Linked DNA regions of Diceros bicornis minor. The protein of the gene in region 2 interacts with the protein of the main gene of each other region in a biochemical or structural test. Links are inferred from orthologs where the notes say so. Each region holds a gene or a part of one and is shown on either strand. Other genes may lie near its edges. The genes, in order: USF1, GTF2I and BTK.

Evidence for each region.
Region 1: the proteins of GTF2I (region 2) and USF1 form a complex in vitro, tested with the Homo sapiens proteins (2 studies listed by BioGRID). The link is inferred for Diceros bicornis minor from reciprocal best matches to the Homo sapiens genes GTF2I and USF1.
Region 3: the proteins of GTF2I (region 2) and BTK form a complex in vitro, tested with the Homo sapiens proteins (4 studies listed by BioGRID and IntAct, with this or other methods). The link is inferred for Diceros bicornis minor from reciprocal best matches to the Homo sapiens genes GTF2I and BTK.

Annotation. Positions count from the first base shown.
Region 1 is NC_080743.1:67,634,766-67,642,748, forward strand, and holds the start of USF1 (upstream stimulatory factor 1), read right to left. Parts: upstream 3,232-7,983; 5' UTR 3,121-3,231; intron 2,691-3,120; exon of another isoform or gene 2,351-2,690; intron 2,293-2,350; exon of another isoform or gene 2,168-2,292; intron 1,397-2,167; 5' UTR 1,312-1,396; coding exon 1,304-1,311; intron 913-1,303; coding exon 863-912; intron 700-862; coding exon 584-699; intron 244-583; coding exon 142-243; intron 1-141. Other genes in the region: ARHGAP30 (rho GTPase-activating protein 30), read right to left, coding at 5,024-6,661, 6,752-7,017.
Region 2 is NC_080765.1:1,771,720-1,779,159, forward strand, and holds the start of GTF2I (general transcription factor II-I), read right to left. Parts: upstream 3,164-7,440; 5' UTR 2,223-3,163; coding exon 2,213-2,222; intron 1-2,212. UniProt on the Homo sapiens protein: Interacts with the basal transcription machinery by coordinating the formation of a multiprotein complex at the C-FOS promoter, and linking specific signal responsive activator complexes.
Region 3 is NC_080781.1:94,497,347-94,505,094, forward strand, and holds the start of BTK (tyrosine-protein kinase BTK), read right to left. Parts: upstream 3,189-7,748; 5' UTR 3,042-3,188; intron 1-3,041. Other genes in the region: RPL36A (large ribosomal subunit protein eL42), read left to right, coding at 6,807-6,917, 7,336-7,441, 7,643-7,710. UniProt on the Homo sapiens protein: Non-receptor tyrosine kinase indispensable for B lymphocyte development, differentiation and signaling. Binding of antigen to the B-cell antigen receptor (BCR) triggers signaling that ultimately leads to B-cell activation.

The DNA.
Region 1 (7,983 bases), on a different chromosome or scaffold from region 2:
TCCAGAAAGGGAGAACCTAGTGCCTTGGAACAAGGCAGCCTAGATTCCTCACCATCTCTAGCCTCACCCCCATCCTATTGATTCCCTTCTTCATCTTACTACTCAGAGCTCTAGTCCCCTTCCCAGCCCATACCCTTGTACCTGGGTCATAGATTGAGTGGCAGGGTAGCCACTGATGGCGCCAGTCCCCTCAGTCTGGCCATCCAGCTGCCCCTCAGACACCTGGATTACCCTGTACATCACCTAGAAGCAGGGAGGAAAGGGGAAGGAGAGGAAGAGAGAATAAGAGAGTAAGTGCTGGAGATCTCAGGGCCCCTCATAAAGCTTCTTGAGTAGGGTCCCAAAACAAGAGTCCTTCAGAGACATAGATTCAGCCATTTCCCCTTCTTTATCCATACAGAGGTTTCAGCATAGCCCCTACCCCACCCCAATCTCTACTCCAAACCTCTTACTCTAAGTCACCCCACCAACAGTCCACATTTTCACCTCATCCTCCAAGCCAGGTCTCCCCACGACAGGTTTGATTACCTCCCTCAATCCCAACCCCAGGTAACACCTGCAGCCACCTGGCCCCCTCCCTTACCTGGCCCCCATTCTCAGTTCGGAAGACGTACTTGACGTTGGGGTCAGGGAAAGTGGCAGCTGACTGGATGCTGGCGATAGCCACACTGGTGGGGTCCTCCCCAGTTGCCACCGCACCTGAATTAAAAGAGCAAAAGAAAAGTCTGTGAGTTACTGCCTTTCTCCCTCTGTTCCACTTGCATGTCATTCAAAAGGAGAAGGGTGCACAGGAGATGGGCCGATGGGGGAGGGGGAGAGGCCACGATGGGCTCTTGGTCTCAGGTCTGTTTCTACCACTCACCTTCCTGAATCTGCACTGTCCCCTCTTCCGTTTCAGCTGTTTTCTGCTGCCTGTTTGTGAAGGGACAAAAGGAAGAATAAGGGGAGAAGTGAAAGAAAAGCTCACTGGCCCAGTAACATATGGCTCCCAAACTCATTGGCATTCCCACTAGATGTAGGTTAGGTTAGAAAAACAGGTAGTATTTCCTGAGTGTTTACTGTGTACATGGGCACTAGCTAAGCACTTAACAGGCACTATCTTACTGAATACTAAGAACAGCACGAGGAGGTAGGTAGTGCTACTTGCATTTTATAGATGGGAAACCAAATCACCCAGCTAGTAAGTGATGGAGCTAGGGCCTGAATCTAGGTCTGCCTGACTTCAGAGCCAGTGCTCTTAGGCATTTTGTATTCTCCCAGGCCTCCCATCTCCCATCCCAGACCCTACCTCTTCTTCACTCACCCCTTCATCTCTCTGTAAGGGGGTACATCCGAGGAACTGGTCCTTCTTTGGAAGTCTTCGTATCTCCTGCCTCTCAGACCTGAGTGCTAAGTCCTGGTAGAAATCAGGGAGTCTGCAGTGAGTCTAGGAAACTGAACAGCCCCTGTTTCTAGAACCTTGGCTCCATGCAGACACAGCCAGGAACATAACCCAATCATCTGCAGGGGACAGTCAGCTTCCTCCATTATGATGCTGAGGGCTACAGTGATTGAAAAAGCAACTCTACAAACAGTGTTCTTCACCCCTCCGTTATCACCCAACTCCTGGTGGAGAGGGGATAATTATACTGGAAAACTGAGAAACAACGTATTTCGGCATGAATTATTATTAAAGCTTTTATGATCTGCCATATCATGGGGATTAGGAAGGACCATGTTTAGACCACCACTGTCTATGAGACCTTGGGCCTCATTCCCCATTCTACTGACAGGGCTCTAGTTTTGGGGTGTCCAGATTTATGTCATTTGTTAAAGACCCTAAAGCCCAAGTGTATCATCTTCAAGCCTTCTATTTTATTCACCGAGCCTTCCTGTAGAACAACACAGTTGCTAAAATGTTGCCATGACAACTCCAAATCAACTGAGCCTCAGCAAGAAGTGAAAAAACTCCAGGCTCAGGGTTTCGAAGAAGAGACAATGGGGGAGGAATCCATCTACAAGGTGCCTGCCTTAGGACCCTGACACCCAACCAGAGGACAGGAAAAACCAAGGGCCGAGCAGATATGCCTCCGAAAGAAACAGCTACATAGTACAAAGCAATAAGGTAATCCCGACACGAAAGAGGTGAGATTTTTTTTAAGTTCTCTACCCATAAAGTCCCCCAAACCTTTCTTATTCAAGGAAAATCTTCAGCAGATGAGCCTTGGAAAGCCCGTATCCAAAGAAAGTGTTAACCGAAAAAAAAAAGGGGGGGGGGGGGACTGAAAGTGAAACTGTCCGGAGGAAGTAGCGTTGCAAGAAGATCCCAGTCCGCAAGGGGAAGTAGCACTAGCGTTTCGGGACCACCTACCTCTCCATCCTCAAACCTGCGGAGGAAGTGCCCCTCCAGACCTGACGCGCTGCCTGCAGGAGGAGGCAATGAAAGAGGGCAGGGCACAGGAGGCTTCTCTATTGCCCACAGCTGTCAGCTAGGAGCAGCTTCTGGGTGAGGACACCCAGCAACGGGGTTAGGCTACTTATTCAAATCTTAGTTGGACATCCGGAAGCATTTTCTGAGCATTAGGGATATGCGACACGGAAACCGGGATAGGATGTTGTGGCGTGCACCCTCAGGCGAGGGAAGGCCCAGCCAGAGTCCTTGCTAAGGGTGGACACAAAGGGAAAAATACTCAAGTCTCGAAAGAAGTCAGGCGCCTAGATCTTGCCTGAGAATGCGCCGTCTCCCTGCAGGCCCACCAACCAGCAGGCGCTTAGCCGCTGACCGGCGGCCAGGCGCGATCCCGGGAGCCCACGCCGTGACACGGCCAGCCCCGCTGCGCTCACCCCGCGCCCGCGCTGCTCCGCAGAGGAGGCAGGAAAGCCAGCCCCGGGCTCGGCGGCCCCGGGGTCCCCGGCCCGCGGCTGGCAGCGCAGGAGGGCGGGGACGTGCGCGCTCGGGGGCGGGGAGTGAGTTCGGCCCACAAAGAGGGGTAGGAGGTAAAGAACCGGGCACGGCCCCGTCCCTCAAAACAAAGGCTTCCTCCCCAGGAGTGCCCTAACCTGAAAAACTGAAACAAAATCAAGGTTGCCCCGCCCTGCCGGCGCATCCAGTCTCCAGACTCCGTCCGGTCCTGCACTCACCGGCCACGGCCGCCCCAGCCGCCAATTTTCCCGGACCGTGTTCTCCCTCTCCGGACCTGGGTATCTCCATGAACAGCTGCTCATGCGCACTTCCAGCCCGTGGCCATGTTGGTGAGGGGCGGAAGTGTCTCGGTTGACCCGCCCAGCCCACTGAGCCTCTGAGCCGCACCACTTCCGTTCGCTCCATCTTGATAGGGGCTGTAGGTGCGGAGTTGGGGGCGTCTCTGGGGTCGGGAAGAAGCAATTTGCCGGGACCGTGGGGGGAATGACGCTGAAGGCCTGGTCTGTTTCGGCAAGAACGGGAGAAAGTCGACTAAGTTGTGCTGTCTTTCTGCTGGACACGGCCATTTTAGTTCAAGGAAAAAGGAATGAGAGGCCAGCTTAGAGCAAGGGAGGGACGTCGGACGGAGGCGCCATCTTTAACAAGGGCTATTTGGGAGGCCATCTTGGATCAGGACACCTTTTTGAAGTGTCTCCTATTGGAAATTAGGACATATCTAGGCATACATAGATCTGGGCGTGCTCCTTTGTATTAGCGTCAGCAATCACTCTCCCAGAGACCTCCAAGGCCTTCAGTTTTTGTGACGCTCAGTTTCTGTGAGAGGTATCCTTATTCCCATTCTTCTCAGTCAGGACCTACCCTTAATGGATTTGGAGTAGTGTGGTGTAATGGGAAGAGTTCAGACTCTGGAGTTCAGTCTCTGGAGCGAGATAAACTCGGGTCTCAGACCTTTCTCTGCCACTTCTTACCTCTGAGATCTTTGGCAAACCTTTGACTTAATTAGCTTTAGTTTCCTCACCTGTAAAGTGGAGGTACCAGTACCAACCTTACAGAATTGTTAGGTGGACTGAATAAAATCAAGGGCATAGATTCTATGCACGTAGACTACCTAGCCTTTACTGGCACATAATGAGCATTATGTAAATATAAGTTTCTCTTCCCCATTTCCTCACCACCATGAACCCAGCTCTAGTTTCTAGCCACAGGTCTCCATGACAACAACTGAGGAAGAGCAGACAAACAACAAAAGTAGAAGACAACGATTGGCCAAACTTATGAAAATGTGATACCTATCACCGGAGACTTTAATAAGAATAATGAGACTTCACACTATTTACATGTAAAAGTACAACTTTTATTCTGAGACATCACCCCTTACTAGAATGGGACCTGTAGCCCCAGCCTATCTGGAGAAGCAGTCCCAGAGCCTTAGTGACTCCATTTCCCTTCCCTGAAATAGGAGGAAGTTATTCCAAAGGAAAAAGGAGAGGCCAGAGAGATCTGTACAGGACCTCTCATCCTTAATGTGACCAGAGGCAGAGAGTGGCGGGGCTGGAAAGGGGGTCAGTCCCTCCAACAAACACCGAGGGCTTCAAAGAGCTTTCTGGACATGTTCCTCCTAGTGTGGAGCTAAGAGGGTCAGGAGGTATCCAAGAGCCCAAGAGCAGAACAACGATGGGAAGCTCTAGAACTGTTTGGGTGTAATAGGCTCTGACCTGGCCCTGTCCTCCCCACCTCCACCCTGGGCTTGCATGAAGAGAAGTTCACAGCCTCAGAGGAGGGCAGGAACTTCGCTGGAGTTCCCCCTTCTTTCTTCACTTTGAGAAACCTCTAAGTTTTCTGCCTGCTCTTTGTTCCCTTTGGCCAATGACCTCACTCCCTGGGAACAGGATCTTGGTGACTTGCTTGGGAATCTCCTAAGGGATAAGTGCTTTGTGTCTGAGACAAGCTCAGGTAAACCAACCAAGGCAGTGCCTCCCACAGTCAAAAAGAGAAGCTGGAGGGCCAAAGCCTATAGAGTTGGGCACTATAGCTGCTCGGGCTGCAGAAGAGACAGCTAGTCAGGGACCCCAGAGATTCAAGACAACTTACTGTCCCCTTTGCCCAGTGCTCTGGTCCTAATCACAGTCTCTCACCTTTCCCAGGGTTAGCCTGTGTTTCAAATGCATAGGATCGGCGCTGGGGGGGTGTAAGGGGGTCAGGGGGCTGTGGTTCTCTGGGGGGAAGACTAAGCCGACTCCGGGGTCCAGACCCTTCTGTGCCTTCAGATTGGAGTTCCAGGCAGCTAAAGGGCCGAAGAGAATGAGCAGGGATCATGCTACAGGGGGAGGTTCTGGGGTTGAGGCTGTAGTCCTCACTCCCAGTACAGGTCTGGGTCCGCCGAATTCCCTGAGCCTCAGTCCTCTGGCGGTCCCGGGCCAGGGCCACAGCAGCATCAAAGGAAAGACTGCCCCCATTCCTCCAAGAGGATCGGGAGGCTCGGGACCCCCAAGCCCTTTCCCGAGGAGTCCCATCAAGCCGGCCAGGCCTCGGGCATGGGTTTGCAGGTGCCACATGGATCTTGCTACACATTGCACTGGGCATCTTGGCGAACTGTGGTTTGGGGGGCACCACAGGCACAGAGCGGACCTGTTGGACCTGAACCAAGGTGGAAGCCAGGCGCATGCCCACACCTCCAGCTGAGCCAAAGGGACAGGGGCACAGATTGCAGCCCTCTGGACTGGGCTGCCCCTCAGGCTCCATCTCTTCTGGCCGGGGTGGCTGTGGGACTGCCTGTTCTGTCTCAGAGGACTGGGCATTGCCCTCTTTGGCACTATCAACCTCCAGGGACTCTACATGTGACCCTTCAGGGAGGGAGGCCTCTTCTAAATGGTCACCTCCAGCCCTCTGGTCTCCCTCAGCCTCTCCATCCCCACTCTCTCGTTCCTTGCTCACCTCCCCTACTCCTCCTTCAGCTGCTGCGTCCGGGCTCTTGCTATCTTCACCATCTCCTTGGTCTTCTCTTGCCTCTTGGTCCCCATCCCCGCTCTGTCCCTTGACCTCATCCTCTCTGCCTCCGACAGCTTCTTGTTTGTGGACGACTTCCCAGCTCTCCTCAGCAACTTGGTTTTCGCGGGCCCTGTGCTCTGGGTCCCTTCCAGCTTCTACCTGGGCTTCCTCTCCTTCCTTAGCCTCTTCCTCTCTCTCAGTCTTTCTTTCCTTCTCCTTGTCTTTACCTTGCCTTCCTCCTACTTCCTCTACACTCTTAGCTTCTTCCATACTCTCATCCTCCCACTGACCCTTGGACTCCTCTCTCTTGGCCTCTTTCTCTTCCCCACTCTCTTCTCTCAAGTGGGCCATCATCTCTTGGCTTCCCCTAGCTTCCCCTTCTTTCTCACCAGCCTCTCCATCCTCCACCTCACTCTCTGGACTCCCCTCAGCCTCCTCCCTGATATCCCATCTGCTTCCAGGCTCAGCCTCTGTATCCTCTCCAACTTCCCAGCATGCCTGCTCTCCCTCAGCCTTTCCTAGAGCCTCCTGTCTTTCACACGCTGCTACCTCTTCTTCCAGACTGCCTGGACCCTCCCAGGTTGGGGATTTGGGCCCCAGAAGGGGACTTAGGTCATCATAGGCACTCAGGAAGACTTCCTCCCCACTTTCTTCCTCTGCTTCGGGCCCCGGGTCAACAGAGTCCAGGGAACAGCAGCTGGGAGCCAGGACAAACTGCGCCTCATCCAGAGACAGGTCATCCAGGGGCGGCTCCACGGAGAACTCCTCCACCTGTAGACACACATTATGGCTCAGGACCAGGTGGCCCTGTCCACCCTCTGGATTCTTACCACCCCCAAACCCAGCACAGCTCCTCCTTACCTGAGGCCCAACTCCCAGGAGCTCCTCCAGGTAGCCCATCCCAGGGTCGTCCTCCCCAGGGGAGAAGGCTGCTCCTGCTGCTCCTGCCTTGGCTACCTCCCCATCCTCCGCCCCCACCCACTCCGGCTCTGAGCTGCTTGAGTCCTCTAGGAAGGAGAAGGAATCCTGCACCTCCTGGGACAGGCAGTCCTCCAGGGCAGGGGCCACGTCCGCTGGGCCTGAGTCAGCCAGGGGACCTGGGACTGGACTTGCCTCCGACTTCTCATCTGTTGAGAGAGAGGTGTCCCAGGAATACAAAGGTCAAGACCAGCCCTGACCCTTTCCAATGTGGGTCTTCCTAGCATTGCTACAATATGGCCCTGGTACTCCCAGCATAGATGCTCCATGTGGCTGATCCTTTCAGACCAATATCCCTAACTATTGGCTCATAGCTGCCTTTACTGAGCTCCCACCAGGTGCCAAGCACCTTGCTATATATTTTACAATGCATCATCTTATTTCCCCCACAAAACAACCCTATAATATAGGGGTTTTATCCCCATGTTACATTTGAGAAAGCTGAGACTCAGAGAGATTTGTCTAAGATCACAAAAACAGTAAGTGGCACAGCCAAAATTTCAACTCAAGTCTGCTTAACTCTGTAGCCCACATCCTTACCCACTACCCTGTGCTGCCTTGGTACTTCTCATCAGTGACACTTCAGGAACCGGAGTCAGAGCAAAGATCAGATCCCACCTCCACCACCTCCTACCTAAATTAATAGCAAATTGCTTAACCTAGGTCTCAGGTTCCACTGCTGTAACATAAGGATAACCACCATACCTGTGTGATGAGATTATGAGAAAATGAAATAAGCTAATGCCTGCGAAGTCCTTAACACAGCACTTGGCTCATAGTAAGCCCTTGATAATTGTTAGCTATTAGTATTAATGTTATTATTGTTATTACCATCATCTATTATATATTCCCACCTTGTACTTAGTAATCCCTGCTATATGTGTCTGACACAGACCCCCATTCTTGGGTATATCAGTGATCTGAAGGCTGCCAGAGATCCTCTCCCCATGAATTTCACACAATCTGATAATATTACTGGATTCCCCCAACCTCAAATCCAGGGAGGCAGTTGAAAGTAAACTTCAGCCCCAGGGCTGAGGCCTCTGCCCTTCCCAGGGCAGATCCCCAGCATCAGAGCTTCAGCCTAGAGTTCTAGTCCCCTCTCCTAATCCTGG
Region 2 (7,440 bases):
ATTAAAAAGTCACTAAGGGACAAATACTGTCCAAATAATTCCACTTATATGAGGTACCAAAAACAGTGAAATTCATAGAGACAGAAGGTAGAATGGTGGGTGCAGGTACTAGGCGAGGCGGGAATGGGGATTATTGTTTAATAGGCAGTTTCAGTTTAAGAAAAGGAAGAAGTCCTGGAGATGGATAGTGTCATGCTTGCGCAACAATGTAACTGTACAAACTGTGCACTTAAAAATGGTTAAAATGTGGGGCAGCCCAGTGGTACAGGGATTAAGTTCAAGTGTTCTGCTTCGGAGGCCCGGGGTTCCCCAGTTCGGACCCTGGCCGTGGACCTACTCAACACTCATCAAGCCATGCTGAGGTGCGTCCCACATAGAAGACCTACAACTCTACAACTGTGATACACAACTACGTACTGGGGCTTTGGGGAGAAAAAAGAAAAAGAGGAAGATTTGCAACACATGTTAGCATAGGGCCAATCTTCCCCCCCCCCAAAAAAAATGGTTAAAAGGTAAGTTTTGTGTTCTGTATATTTTACAATTTTTAAAAAAAAATCACTGCCAGGAACCACCTGAAAAAAAGAGCTGTTTATGTGGAAATGGCAGGCACAAATTTATTTTTCACAAAGGGACAAGCTCATCTTACATGGGTTTTCTATGCTATTGAGCGATTTGTTCAGATCCATCCAAATTCTTCAGCCCCAAGGAAAGCATTAAAAACAATGACCCAGGCCGGCCCGTGGTGTAGCAGTTAAGTGCGCGAGTTCCGCGAGTTCCGCTGCTGGAGGCCCGGTTCGGATCCCGGGTGCGCACCGGCGCACTGCTTGTCCAGCCATGCTGAGGCGGCGTCCCACAGAGTGGAAGTAGAAGGACCTACAACTAGGATGTACAACTATGTACTGGGGCTTTGGGGAGGAAAAAAAAAAAAAAAAAAAAGAGGCAGATTGGCACAGATGTTAGCTCAGGGCCAATCTCATGTTTTCAACCGAGAATGAAACAATAGCAGAATTCAATTAGGTGGAATGCAATGCAAATAGCTAGTCACCAGTACTAACAGAAAAAGTTAAGTGTTTAGTAATTTTTCAATGTTTTATTTACCACTCCTTTAGATAATAACCTGCAGTAGGGACTTTGTCTTTTATGTTTTGGAACACATCATCGATCTATGGATCATCAAAAGTGATAGAACATAACTGGAAACTAATCCCATTCCTCCTACCTAATTTGAAATTACTTTCCCCAGAAAGAAATTCATTATTGGGGCCAGCCCCGTGGCCTAGCGGTTGCGTGCTCGTGCTCCACTGCTGGCGGCCCGGGGCTTGGGTCCTGGTGCGCACCAACCCACTGCTTGTGGAGGCATGCTGTGGCAGCGTCCCACGTAAAGTGGAGGAAGATGGGCACAGATGTTAGCCCAGGGCCAGTCTTCCTCAGCAAAAAAAAAAAGGAGACTTGGCAGATGTTAGCACAAGGCTGAGCTTCCTCACAAAAAAAAAAAAAAAAAGACTTGTGCCCCAAGAAAAAAAACTGGAAAGCCTACATTTTAACGACAAAGTCTTTGTAGTCTTTTTTTTTTTTTTTTTTTTTTTTTTGCTGAAGATGACTCACCCTGAGCTAACATCTGTGCCAATCTTCCTCTATTCTGTATGGCCACCGATGAGTGGTCCAGGTTCACACTGGGTACAGAACCTGGGCCCCCAAAGCTGAGCCTGACGAATTTAACAAGGCTGGCCCCTGTAGTCCGTAGTCTTAAAACTAAGCCAAATCATTGGAGGTGCACAGGGCTGGGGGGGTGTGGTTCTGAGCTCTGGCTGCTCTGCCTGCCACAGCCTGGCCCAACCTCAGTGCCTCAGTGCCAAGCTCAAGCCCCATCACTCCTTCCAGGTTCCTAGACCTTAGATTTCGTGGTGGGGATGGGAAGCTCTATGTATCTCTAGGAGGAGATAAATGCCTGTGCCATGAATAAATTAATAAATGAATGAGAGTGGGGGAAAGAAAAACCTAGTTATTTATAGTTCGAGTTTTATTCTGTACTTAAACCCATGGCTATTTATTAAACTTTTAATTTTGTAATCATGGCTAACAAAAATTTTTAACTTTCAAGTCAGTTTTCCAAGCAATCTAGTTAGCAGTCCAAATTATTTTTGGTTAAGATCTAGTTCTAAAGTAATGAAAAGCAAACATCTACAATAAATTTCCCTCACTTATAACTTACTTTGCACCATAGTAAGCAGTCCTTAGAGCACCAGCAGCAGCAGCACATGGGAACTAGTAAGAAATGCAAGTTACCCGGCCCCACCCCAAACCTGCAGAATCAGAATGTCTGGGGCAGGGCCCAGCAATCGTGTTTTAACAAGTGCTCTAGGGGATGCTGATGAGTCTGAGAACCACTGGCTCAGGAATTCAAGAGTCCTCCTGCCTAGGTTCAAATCTTAGAGTCAAGGTCTACTTGCTTGGTAACGAAGACTAAATTACCCAGCTTCCTATACTTATTCTTCATCTATCAAATGAAATTACCGGCTTGTTCTGAAGAGATTAAATAAGAAAATATAGGCGCCGGCCTGGTGGTTTAGCGGTTAAGTTCGCTCTCTCCCCTTCGGCGGTGCCCCGCGGTCCCCAGTTTCGGTCCTGGACGCGGACCTACACAGTGGTCATCAAGCCATGCTGAGGCGGCGCCCCACACAGAAGAACCTACAACTAGGATATACAACTATGTACTGGGGCTTTGGGGAGAAAAAAGGAAAAAAAGGCAGATTGGCACAGATGTTAGCTCAGTGCCAATCTTCCTCAAAAAAAAAGAAAACATAATACGTTAACTGCTTAAAAGAAATGCGAGCACATAAGAACCACTCAAATGCTGGCTGTGGTTACTACTATATACGCACGGCCTCCTGACGGGTGTAGACTGCAAGAGGGAGAAAGGCAAGGCAGAAAAGGCTTACTGCCTACCCACCCAACAGTTAAATACCTAGTGACCATGCCAGACACGTGTACACAAAGCAAAACCAAACACACACTTAGAGGAAGTAAAGACGCCCGCCTCGGAGGGGAGAGCAAGTTGATTTGGACACTGTAGGGAGAAATAACCAATTCTGACCGAACAATATGAGACGGCTTTAACAGTGACTCCAAGAAAGAGTTCCACGACTTAAAGAGAAGAAAAAGTCATGCCAGCCTACAGGCGTGCGCCAGGATCCCAAGACGCAGACGAAACGAAGAGCGCAGGGCAGCAGACCGCCGCGGCTGGAGACGGAACAAAGCAAAACAGTGCAGCAGGAAATAAGATCAGTCTCCCCCATCGGAGGCCTGCGCCTGGGGACGAGGCCGGCCCGGGCCGCGCCACGGCACGCTCTCGTTTGCACACTAACTTCCCCTTGTCTCCCGAGCCCCCGCGACGACCTTCCCGCACAGCGGCCGCGGGAGAGCCGCCATCCGCAGCGGCGGAAGTGTGCGCGGAGCCCGCACTCGCAGGCGCGGGCCGGCCCACGGGACGCGACGTCAACCCCGCGCCGGAGCCTCCCCGCGGAAAAACGGCCGCTCCACAGCGGAGAAACTCGGGGGAGGGCGGCGGAGGGCGGGAGAGGAAGGAGGGCCGCTTTTTGTCTTCCTCGTCTCCTGAAACCCCGTCTGGGCGCTGGCCGAAGCCACGCGGCCTATTTTCGCGGTCCGCAGGCCGAGGCTTTCCTTCCGGTCATTGTGCGGCTTCCCCCCCAGAGCAGGCCCCGCGGGGCAGGCGCGCCGGCCGCGCCGGGACAAAGCCCGCTCCGTCTCCACCTGGGCGCGGGCGGGGCGGGGGCGGCGCTCGGGGCCGCCGGCAGTTACCAGGCAGCCGGCACCGCCCCGCCGCCCGCCGGCCAATCCGGCGCGTCTGCCGCCGGGCGCACGAGCCCCGGAGACACCCGGCCGAGCGCGACCCCACGGCTCGGGCCTGGCACCGCGCGCGCCCCCGCACCGCGCGCCGGCCAATCAGCGCCGGGCATGCGCACCCGCGGGCTCGCGCGGGGCTCACGCGGGAGCCCCCCCGCAGCGGCGCCCCTCCCCCGCGCGCGTGCAACTGCCGTGCCCGCGACCGCGGCCGCCCCACCCCCACGCCGGGCCCGGGGCCCCACGCGGCCGCCGCCGGCCCCCGACCCCTGTCCGTGGCGCCCCGGAGGGGGCGAGGCCCAAGTCAAGGCCCCGTGCGCGAGGCAGCCGGGGCGGGGCGGGGGTGAGGCGCCAGGGACTCACCCGACTGCAGCCGCCTCCAGGCAGCGCCGGGGCCGGGGAGCCGAAGGGCAGCGGGTGCGGGCCGCGCTGCTGCGGCCGCGGCGGAGAGCCTCGGTCTGAGGCGAGCTGGCGAGCGCGCAGGAGGTTGGAGGGCGAGGGCCGTGCGTCTCGGCCGAGCTCCTGTCACCGCCGCATGGCCGCCCCAGTAGGGCCTCGCTCAGCGCCGAGATCGCTCACAGGGGACCGAGGGAGAGGCCGGGGCAACCGCGGCAGGCGGAAGGCCACGGTTAGACAGCGCGTGCGGCGAAGCGGGGGGGCGACCGGTGGCCCCTTTTCTCTGCTCTCAGAGCTTGTCTCTCACCCTCCTCCTCTTTTTTTTTTTTGTTCCTCGAAGGCGCGCTGCGCGTGCGCACCCGCAGCGCCGCCCAGCGGGAATTGTAGTTTCCGATTCGTCCCCACCAACGCGACGGCGGGGGCGGTGGACTACGACTCCCAGGAAGCCTCGCGCCGGCGAGCCCCGAGCCGGAGGACGCGGCGAGCGCGGCGCCCGGCCCTCTCCGGCAAGGACTGTCAATGGAGGCGCGGGTGGTGGGAGCAAGAACATGGCTGCACCTGGGGCCTGCGCGGCCGCCGTGTGGGGGAGGGGAGCGGGGCGCAGGGGCACAGATCCAGGCCGGGGGTGGCTCCAGCGGGCCTCAGCCATGGTGCAGGGCTCGCACTAACTCGTGCCCCCGAGATTGCTTGCAAATTGCTAGGCCGGAATACGGCAAAGTCGGGGCGCCCCAGGCCCTCTGCCACCCTCGGTGCCCCGCCAAGGCACTTCCTCCACCCTGCACCACCCTCTGGGACACAAAGAACTGTCCCTTTTGAAAGCATGCCTCCAACGCCGCCGCAAGAGACCGTTGCTCCAACTTGGACGGGCCCGGGGAGGGGACTCTTCTGTTTTTATGTACCACCCCCCCCACCCCCGGCTTTGCTCACGCGCCGTCTCTCACTCAACATTTAGAAGGAAAGTGGAGGAAAAGCCACGGAGTGCGAGCAGAAAACCTGATTTGTCGCCCGTTCTGTTCTGTTAACCGCTAAGCAATTTTACTCAAACCCCTCCCTCGGTCATTTTTTTGCCTCTCAATTTGCGTTAGCTCGTGAATTTCGAAAATAGACGTTACTGTTCACCGAAGTTAAACTCAAAAGTTTGAGAAACTCGAGCCCAGAGAGTTTAGATGTTTAGGTAAAGCACAAAATCGAATGATCCTGTGATTTTTTTTCCCCACCGGAGATTCGGGCCACGCCGGCACCCCACCCCCACCCGCCCTCGGTAGGTGGCGACCACGGCACTTTTTCCAGCCTCCCGGTCTTTGTCGCTCGAAATAAAACTTTGCGAGCAGCCAGTCTTTTGATGTAAGTTCAAAACCTTTCCTTTGAATTTGGGTTCACGGATTGGCGTTCCCCGTCTTCTTTCTTCCATAGACTGCACTCATGAAGCCTCACCTAGAATTTCCATGTTGGATTTCTTTAAAATAAATGGAAAATTTAAAGATCACTGCGAGGCAATGTGATGACAGAAGACTTCTACTTTTTTATGATTTCCCCTGCAATCTTTTACAGTCATTTTGGGCTCACCTAATTCGATTGTGACTTATCAAGTCTCTCTACAGCATTAATTTAGTTTTCATAAGAACAGTGTTCTTTTTGCACTCATATTTCATTAACGTTTTGGAATATTTAATTGAATTCCATATTCCCAATACCAAGTACAACTGACATATATTCAGGAGCAAGTGTAACTCTTGAGAAGCCTACAACTTAGCTGGTAAGAGCTGCCAGCCTACAAGCTGCAAACGTTCAGCTGCTGTAGACATGGGTGAGTATGTTTTCTTGGAAAGACTGGGAGGTTAAGGACAGTGAAAGGAGGATTCACAGGGTGCAGTGGAGTCGTGGAGTAGCACTGGAAGGGTGTTAGCAAGTAAGTTAGGAAGGCAAGAATTATTTAGTCCAGATTACCCTTGTCATCCTTAAAAACTTATTTGGGAGGCAGTCCCTTTCTTCTATGAATTTAACAGTTCAGAGTGAATTTTTTTTTAATTTAATTTTTTTTTCCCCCCCAAAGCCCCAGTAGATAGTTGTATGTCATAGGTGCACATCCTTCTAGTTGCTGTATGTGGGACGCGGCCTCAGCATGGCCAGAGAAGCGGTGTGTCGGTGCGCGCCCAGGATCCGAACCCAGGCCGCCAGCAGCGGAGCACGCGCACTTAACCGCTAAGCCATGGGGCCGGCCCCAGAGTGAAATTTTGCTGCTTCCTGGTGAACACCTCCAACTTCCTTGAAGTTGAAGCAGTTCCTAAAACTGTTAAATCCTAAAGCAGTTCTTAAAACTTCAGCTGGCTTTGAGTTGCCTGTAGACAGAAAGCTGGCCCTCTGGGGACAATGAACAGAGTGTGGTTTGAACAATGTATAGAGGCCAAGCTTTTTTCTCAGCGTACTACTGTTAATAGGTGTAACCCTCAAATTCTTGTCTTACAGTCATATAAAGATCATGCTTTTTCCATCTTTCTTAAGGCCTGGCTCACCACCTTGGCTGTAATTGGTACACTTGTTGCTATTCCTTAGCCAGTTTCTCCCTCCCATTGGTACAGATGGTATGATGCTAGATGCATTATGCTACATTAACTTGTTAACTACATTAACTACATTAACATAGCTATAAACCACTTGAATAACATCTTCCTGCAAAGCCAGTTGTTTTTCCAACATAATATCAGTTTGCTGTATTTTGGGTTGAGCAACAGATGAAAAAAAAAATCATTGATTTGTATTTAGGGATAGCATAGTATGGAATCCTCCTTTGTTTAGGTCACACTCAATGTAGCAAGATGCATGCACCAAGACAGATTGCAAGAAGAGCAGATTCACAGCTCGGCTCACGCTCATTTAAGATGTAAGCACACAGAGGCCAACAGCTGGCATAATCCTGCACGTTATTCATTTCAAATTGTTTCAAATAATTCTCTCTTTTTTTAATGTTTAACCTAGTGTATGCAATCCTGCAGATGAGTGTCCGTATAATATGACACCTCCATTCTACTGCATACTGTGGGAGACAAAGCCAAGTCAAATGGGCCTGGGCCAGGCTAGAGATGGATTTAGATCAAGTGTGAGCACTTCCACCAACTCAGATGCATCTTCACATAGACTCTGACCTTACAGCCTTGCTGACTGCTTTGAAATAGCAAGTGATGT
Region 3 (7,748 bases), on a different chromosome or scaffold from region 2:
ATCATCTCTCTGCCCTGAGGGTGACTGCTGGGGTGTCCATCTTTCACTCTGAACTTATGTGTCCCTTTGACCTTCTTTTTCAGTTTAGTTTTTGCTTTCCCTGGATTAAATGTTTGTTTTTTCCTTCAGTATTAAAATAACACATGTTCATTATAGAAAATGTTTGAAGTACAGAAATACGAAAAATAAAGCATCAATTATAAGCTCATAATCCAGAGGCATTAATATTCGGGCATATTACTTTCCATTTTTTTCTGCGCATTTTTCTTATATTTGAGATCGTATTGCACATACTATTTGTAGTTTGCTTATTCTTCTTAACATTATCTATCTATCCATCCATCCATCCATCCATCTAACACTCATTTTCCCCCCAAATATTTAAAGTTCTTATTTAACACTATTTCTGATTATTTTCCCATGATATTAGGATCTCTATATAAGCATCATTTACCAAGTCAAAAAGTATGTGCATTTTGCATTTTGAAACATAGTGACAAAATAGTTTCCAGAAACATTGCACTAATTTCTACTTCGAATAGCAGTTTTTGAGAGCCTGCTTTCCCCACGCCTTTATCTCTTATCTGCTCCATTTCTAATCAGTTTTTTACTCTGTTTTTATTGCAGACGAATCTGTTTTTTCATTGAGCCAGTGATCTTGAAGTCCAGTACCTTCCAACCTCCAACTTGTCTGAAATTTAACTTCTCTTGACTCCCTAGAATTTCCTTCTTCTAGGGATGAGCTAATAGACTATGGTTCATTTTCATTTCAGGGAGGCAAGATAGTGAACTGAGCTTCTCCTTGAGGGTCAGATAACCAACATTAACCCTATGGGCATCTGGTGATGGCTCTCAGAGAGTGAGGAGGAAAGCCTGGGGTTAAGGCTTTTGTGTTTCCAGCGCTCTCTGTACACCCTCGGTCAGTGCACACGAACCTCCAGAGAAACTGAAAGTCACACGTGGCCCATTTGTTTCAGGGTCCTCAGAGGAGTTCTCCCTCCCCCTCCCTTGATGGCTTCATTTGCATAACCAAGCAGCTTTGGAGTGAATTAGGTCAAGGTCTCCTCTCTAGCTGCTTGTTGAGCACTGCCTCACTGAAAATTCTAGCTCTGCCTTATTCCCAAGAGTTAGCAATCACATCTCGGCATCACTGGGCGAAAAGCAGCAGGTATCTGATGACTCTTTGGAGAACACTCAAAGTGGTTTTCAAAAGCCATATCTTCCCCTTATACCTAAGTCACTTCCTGGTATGGGTCTAGTACACTGAAAGGAAACTCACTATAGGAAATTTGCTCAAATGGAAATAGTAAATCATAGTGATGATAATTTAAAATTACACCAAGAGCCCAGAGGTGGATGGAAAGTTGCACTAGTTCACACCGTAAGGAGTTTACAGAGGATTCTAAACAAACACATAACCAGCCATAAGCAACAGGAATTTGGACTGTAACACAAGCAGATAGTTTAAATAGTCTGAATATAAAAAGGGTCAGGATAGAGCCAATAGGGCTAGCCCTAAGGGATATTGCTTCGGTAGAATGCTTTAGGTTCCATGAGTATTTGCATTTTGTGGCTTATTTGGAGGGTGAGATTGTTTTATCACATAACAGGCTCCAGAGAGGCTGTAGTACCCTTGGTTCAGGGGTTTGGCATGCAAAATGAGGGAAGGAGCAGAACTAGCATAAAACTAACAGCGCAGAGGACAGCCTCTGAGCTGCAGAGACCCCTGCCTCTGGGCTTTGCTGCTGCCCTGCTTCTGGAAATGCACAGAATAGGATAGAGACCTTGAGCTTGGAGAGCTGGGTGGCCAGGAAACTGGACCAGGATTCTATCTGGAAGTCCAGCAACTCATCCAAGGATGTCTTGATCAGGGCCAGCAATCCCTTTTATTCTAAATGCCACACTATTTGCTCTAGGCAGGCCCTCTGGGGATACTGGCAGGTCTCAGGCAGTACAAAAATAATAGCAAACCTTGAGATATTAGCACTTACTATTGCCAGGCCCCGTTTTAACTGCTTTTACATGTATTAACACACTTGCTGCTCACAACTATCCTACGGGGAGCGTACTAGGCAAGTCGGGGGAAAGGGAAAAGGGGAAAGATCAGGGGAAGAAAGGGGCAAGAACAATTCAACGCAATTCAACGATGATTTATTAAGCACTGACTCTGTTCTAGGGGATGTGGTAATGAACAAAATAAAGGAGGAAATAAAGAAGAGAGGATATAGGTAGAGAAAGGAGGGAGAGGAGGATGAGGAGAAGGAGGAGGTGGATGGAGAGGAGGAGAGGAGAGGAAAAGAGAGGAGAAATGATGAAGACAAGAGAAGAAAAAGCCGTGCACATGGCAGGCAATGGTAATAGGAAAAACCTTCCCCATGACCTCAGGGGTTGGCCACACTGTCTGGGCTGAGGCTGAGGCTGCTTTCTTCTGGCCAAGTCTCTTACCCACTATTACCACGAGGTTGGCGCATACAATGCTTCCAACAAGCCAGCTTTGATCCTGGCAACAGTGGCCCAAGGCAGCCTGAGGCAGGTGGCCTACACCCTGGTTTGGCCGGTGCCTTTCCCCAGTTTACAAAGGTAACGGCCTATTGCGGCATGTGAGCTTTTACGGTTTTCTCAGACAATCTGCCTCTTTGAATTTCTTCTAAGGGCCTCATTGATACAAGTATACATTTTGGGTCTTCAAGCAATATTTGACCAAAGGGCTTATTTTTATCCTACTGCCACCGGCGGTATTACTTTTCTGCCAAGTTTTGCAGAGGTGACCCACTCCAACTTTTGCTACATGTTCAGATGGTCACCTCATGTCACTTTTTTCTTTTTGTTCCCCCCACACCCTCCTCAGAAAGGACCCTTACAGTCCCTTCTGATCATCGGAATGGGCCGCCAGGGCCTTGTGCTGATGACACTCCCACCCTCCGTCAGCCTCCTCAGCCAGCAGACTACATGGCACCAGCCATGCTTTCTCTCTGGCCTTCAGGGATCCCATGAAAGCTACTTGCTGCTGCTGCCCAGCCCCTGCCATGCCCCAGACCCACCTCAGTCCTGACTTAATGCAGGTTGCTTCCCAGATGCATTGAGATGCCAGGACTTTGAAGGTGGGACTCGATCTCAGAAGACACTGGCCCTGGAGACATATTCTTACAGTCCAGAGAGGAAGGACAGTCTGAGCAAACCCCACCCTTTCACAGCCACTCAGTTCCCTTTTTTTGTTTCCTGACTTAAACCAATGTCTTTTTTTTTCTTCTTCTCAGCAGCATGGTATCTGGTTCCCTGCTGCTGTCCCTATTCCACCCCCCAGCTGTCCCCGCCCTTCATTTGCTTGGGACCTCTGACACTACTATCTTGAGTCCGCTCTGAAAGAACGCTTCTCAACATTACTGAGGCCACTGAGACTCTAGATGGGGTTTGTTTGAGCAGACAGGTCGTCAGGCTGACCTCCCCGAGATAAAGGGACGACACACCTAAAGGACTGTGAGGATGGTCAGCACAGGGAGTGGAGACTTACAGGAAAGAGGAGAAATGCAGACCTGCAAAGACAAAACAAAGGGACCAAAGAGGAAGAGTGTCTTTAGAGTCTCATGTCCTCTAAGGCAGAGCAGACTCGGGGTCTCAGAGTGAAACTTGATAGTGAAAGATGGAGTGCTCATGAAGGGACCCCAAAGTACAGAGCCTGACAGAGGTAGAGACAAGACTTCCCCCTGCTGAGTCATTTTCTAAGAAAGCATTTTTTCTACAGATAAAAATGTCTGAATGTGAGCCCACGCAAAGACTTGTGCCCTTCCCCATTTTCTGTGGATGTTGATTTTCTCCATTTAAGATTCTGCCTCAGGGATTAACTCTTAATTTACACCTTTCCCTTTAATCCTGTAAAGCGATAAACCAGACAAGGTATGTTTCTTGAAGCCTGAATGTTTCCTCAGCCACCTCCTAGCCTATGTTCTAGCAGCAATCTTCTCCCGGAGGATTCTCCTAGGAAATGTAGACACCACTGGCAGAGCCCCTGGTGACTGATCTGCTTGCCCACCTTGACACATCAGGCACTGCCATCTTTACTTGCCCCAGGCACTGTATCCAAATGTAGAATCAGATCACAGATCTCACTAGAAATCCATCAGAAGTTTTCAGGCAACGTGCTTTTTTTAAAAGGCATTTTGTAGCATAGTGAGTGGTTAATCCTCACCTCTGCACAAGATAGATAGGCAGCAAGTGTTGCAGGATCTTCCTATTTCACTGACAATTTTTCACTAGCCACCCCCTGAACAGCTGCTCCAATCACCTGCCTGAGAGTTGGTCACAGACATTTGCCTTCCCTCCCCTTTTCTTTAGTTAGATGCTACTTGTTGTCACATGCCTTGGCCCTTCTCAAGGTCCATCTTGGGGTGGAGACTGGGAATTGATAGGCATACAATGGGGGATCTGGACAAGGGAGAACAAGACAAGGGAAAGGGGAAAGTAAACCTAGGCACTTCTTCACTCTCTGCCCATGAGCAATCTCCTACACACTTGGCTAGATGACAGAAGGACTGAACCCAAATAGAGCAAATGGATGGCCTAGTGTCGCCTCAAAAGATTCCCGATGTAATATAAGGTTCTATTCTTGGTGCTATCCTGTTCAACATTTTTATTAATGACCTTTGAGGAAGATACAGCAAGTAGCCTAACTAATCCATGAATGGCCCAAGGCTGTTGTGAGCTAGACTGGATGACAAAACCAGAGCAATCAGTTTCCAAAAGATCTTGATCACCTGGTGTGATAAGCCAACTTCAACGAAGTGTAATTTACCAGGGCTAAGGGTCATATCCCATCTCATAACTGGGCACCGGACATTGAACTTCAAAGGACTCCAGGTGAAAATGAGATAGCAGTAGCATTTGGGAAAATGGTTCAGAGGTTTTTGCTGATAGTAATCAAGAGAAATGTCATGTCAGTAACATGGCTGCCAGAAAAATCCAAGGTGATATTAGGCTTCCTTATAGAAGTAAAATATGTAGACAAAGGTAAGTGAACAGGCCACTTACTCTGCAAGGCCAGGTCATATCTAGATCCTGTGTTCAGTTCTGAGTACCTCTTCTCAGGGGAAATTAATGAGCAGGAGCATGTCCAAAACAGAGACCAGGATTGGTGAAGGGAATCAAAACCAAAGTCATGTGACACGAGGTGTGATAGAAAGAACTAAGATTGATTAGACTAAGAGGGGTCATGTTCATTGTCTTCATATTTCCATGTTACTAACATCAAAAACCTCTACAAACATCTCAAAGGCCAGTGAGACTGCCTAAGAGCCTGGAAAGAAGAAGAAAATGCTGTGAGACTATGGGCTGGCTGTTTGGCAGAGAAACTTTTAGGAAATACAGCAGGTAGTGGTAATGCTTTTATTATCTTTTTCCCAGAGACCATCCAACAAAAAGGGGATGATCAGAGAATCAGCTCTGGACCCATGGGTGTTCCTGGAGGGTTATGCAAGCAGGAGACCTCAGGTTTTCAAAGTTCCTTAACCCATAATCCACTGGCACCTCCTCCTCCATCTATGCTCAATTCTCTCTCCTCATCATCCTATACCCTGCAGATGCCCTGCTTCCCCTGTGTGATATCACAGTTAAGTGCAAGGCTGTGGTGTTAGTTATCTGGGATCAAATTCCAGCTCCACAAAATAACCACCTGTGTGACTTTGGATAAAGGAACTTAATACCTCTTGTGCCTCAGTTTCCTCACCTGTTAAATAATAATAATGGTACATGGGGTAGTATGTAAGGTGATTAGGAAAATTCCTGGCATATAATAAGTGCTCAATAATTAGCTATTAGCTATTAATTAGCTATTACAATTACCAGGCCACAAAAGCCATACTGTATAATGGTAAAGGAACCCAGGCTCTGGAGTCAGATCACCTGTGTTTGTATCCTGGCTCCACTAAATACTATCACACTGGGAAAATCGTTTAACAGCCTACAGTCTCAATTTCCTCATCTGTAAAATGGGAATAATAGTACCACCTACCTCCTAGAATTACTGTGAGAATTCTATGAGAGAATCCATTTTAAATGCTCAGTACCCTGCAGTCTTTCTCTGCTGGACTCTCTTGAAACCTAGCGCATGCCTTCTGCCAGGTATGGAGGGAAGGGAAGAGCTGCTGGATATTTTCTATCTCTTGGCCTGATTACTGCTATTGCAGGAGCTGAACAATTTCATTGTATCTTTTCAGAACTTAGAGCAGCCAACTTGCTCCCTCAACAAAAGGGGGCTGCTTTAATGCTGATCATTACTCCTTCTTTACAAAGTACTTAGTCTGTAATAACACATTTACGAGCATGAGCGTGATTATTTGATTATTGTATCCCTTCCCTAGAACAGTGCTTGCCACAAAATAGGCATTCGATAAACATTTGTTGAACAGACCAGCTGGCCATGTGATTGATGAACTAGAGCACTGACTTCCTCCAAGCCTTCAGTGAACCAGCAGTTCGCTGTGAAAGATGTTCCCAGTGTCCTTGAAGTGGAACAGGAATGGAAGATGGAGGTGGAGGGCCCCTCCACTAGACCCTAGTCCTGGCTTCCCTCAGGGATAGGGACAGGGAGGCCGGAGGGTCTGGAAAGGGCACTGCTTCCTTCACTTAACGCTGCTACGCAGCAGCTTCCCCAAAAGTGAAGAAGTCAGGAAAAGTTGCAAAGCTGGGGGGTGGGAGGAAGTCGAAGAGAACGGATCACCCTCAGGCTGACCCTTTCTTTAAGCTCCCGCCCACAGCTCCGAATCGAGTCCTCTCAGCCGACAGAGGGCGCTGCGCACAGAGCCTTAGACTCTATGGTCGCTCCCACCGACTCCCATGAGGAAGCGCGACCAGGAACCGCCTATATACTTCCGTTTCCAGCCCGGCCTCTTTCTTTCTGTGCCGATAGCGCTCTCGCAAACATGGTAGGACTTTGGTGTGGGGCCAGGGTAACATCCAGGTTAATCTTTCCACTCCCGGCGACGGTGTCGTCCCGGGATGGGTCCAGGCCCTTGCGTGGACTCATTGTACCAAAGAAACTCAATGTTGCCGGGATCGACCTCGAAGGGGCCAGGCTTTGGGGCCAGGAATTGAATTGATGGGCTAGAGAGGTAGACTTACCTGGGGGTGGAGTGACTGCGCTGTCCTTCCGCTGGGAGACTCGGCGGAGGGCACTCTGCTGGAAGCACATGGGGCTGGACCACTTTCTGGTCAGCGTTGTGTGTTAGCGAGGAGTTGGAGAGTCGAGTCCTCGTAGGATGCCTTGGCGGCAGCTGGGTCGGGTAGGGCGTTGTGCTATTGGCGTCTGATAACACTGCCTGTTCTGAACGGTTCATTTACTAGGTGAACGTTCCGAAAACCCGCCGGACTTTCTGTAAGAAGTGTGGCAAGCACCAACCCCACAAAGTGACACAGTACAAGAAGGGCAAGGATTCTCTGTATGCCCAGGGTAAGACGATCTGTACGTAATTTGGTTTTAATGTGGCGTTTATGTAGTGGTATAATATACGAGTGTAGTTTTTTCCCCAGGCTTGGGCATTAATAATTCTGATGGAAAGCCCAAGATAAAACCCGCAAGAAGACTTTTCCATGTGGCTGTTGTGATTTATGTTCTTCAGTATGCCATACCAAATAACTTTTGCTCTCCCAGGAAAGCGCCGTTATGACAGGAAGCAGAGTGGCTATGGTGGGCAGACTAAGCCGATTTTCCGGAAAAAGGTTAGTAGTAATTACTGTTAGACATGCTTCCCACTTAC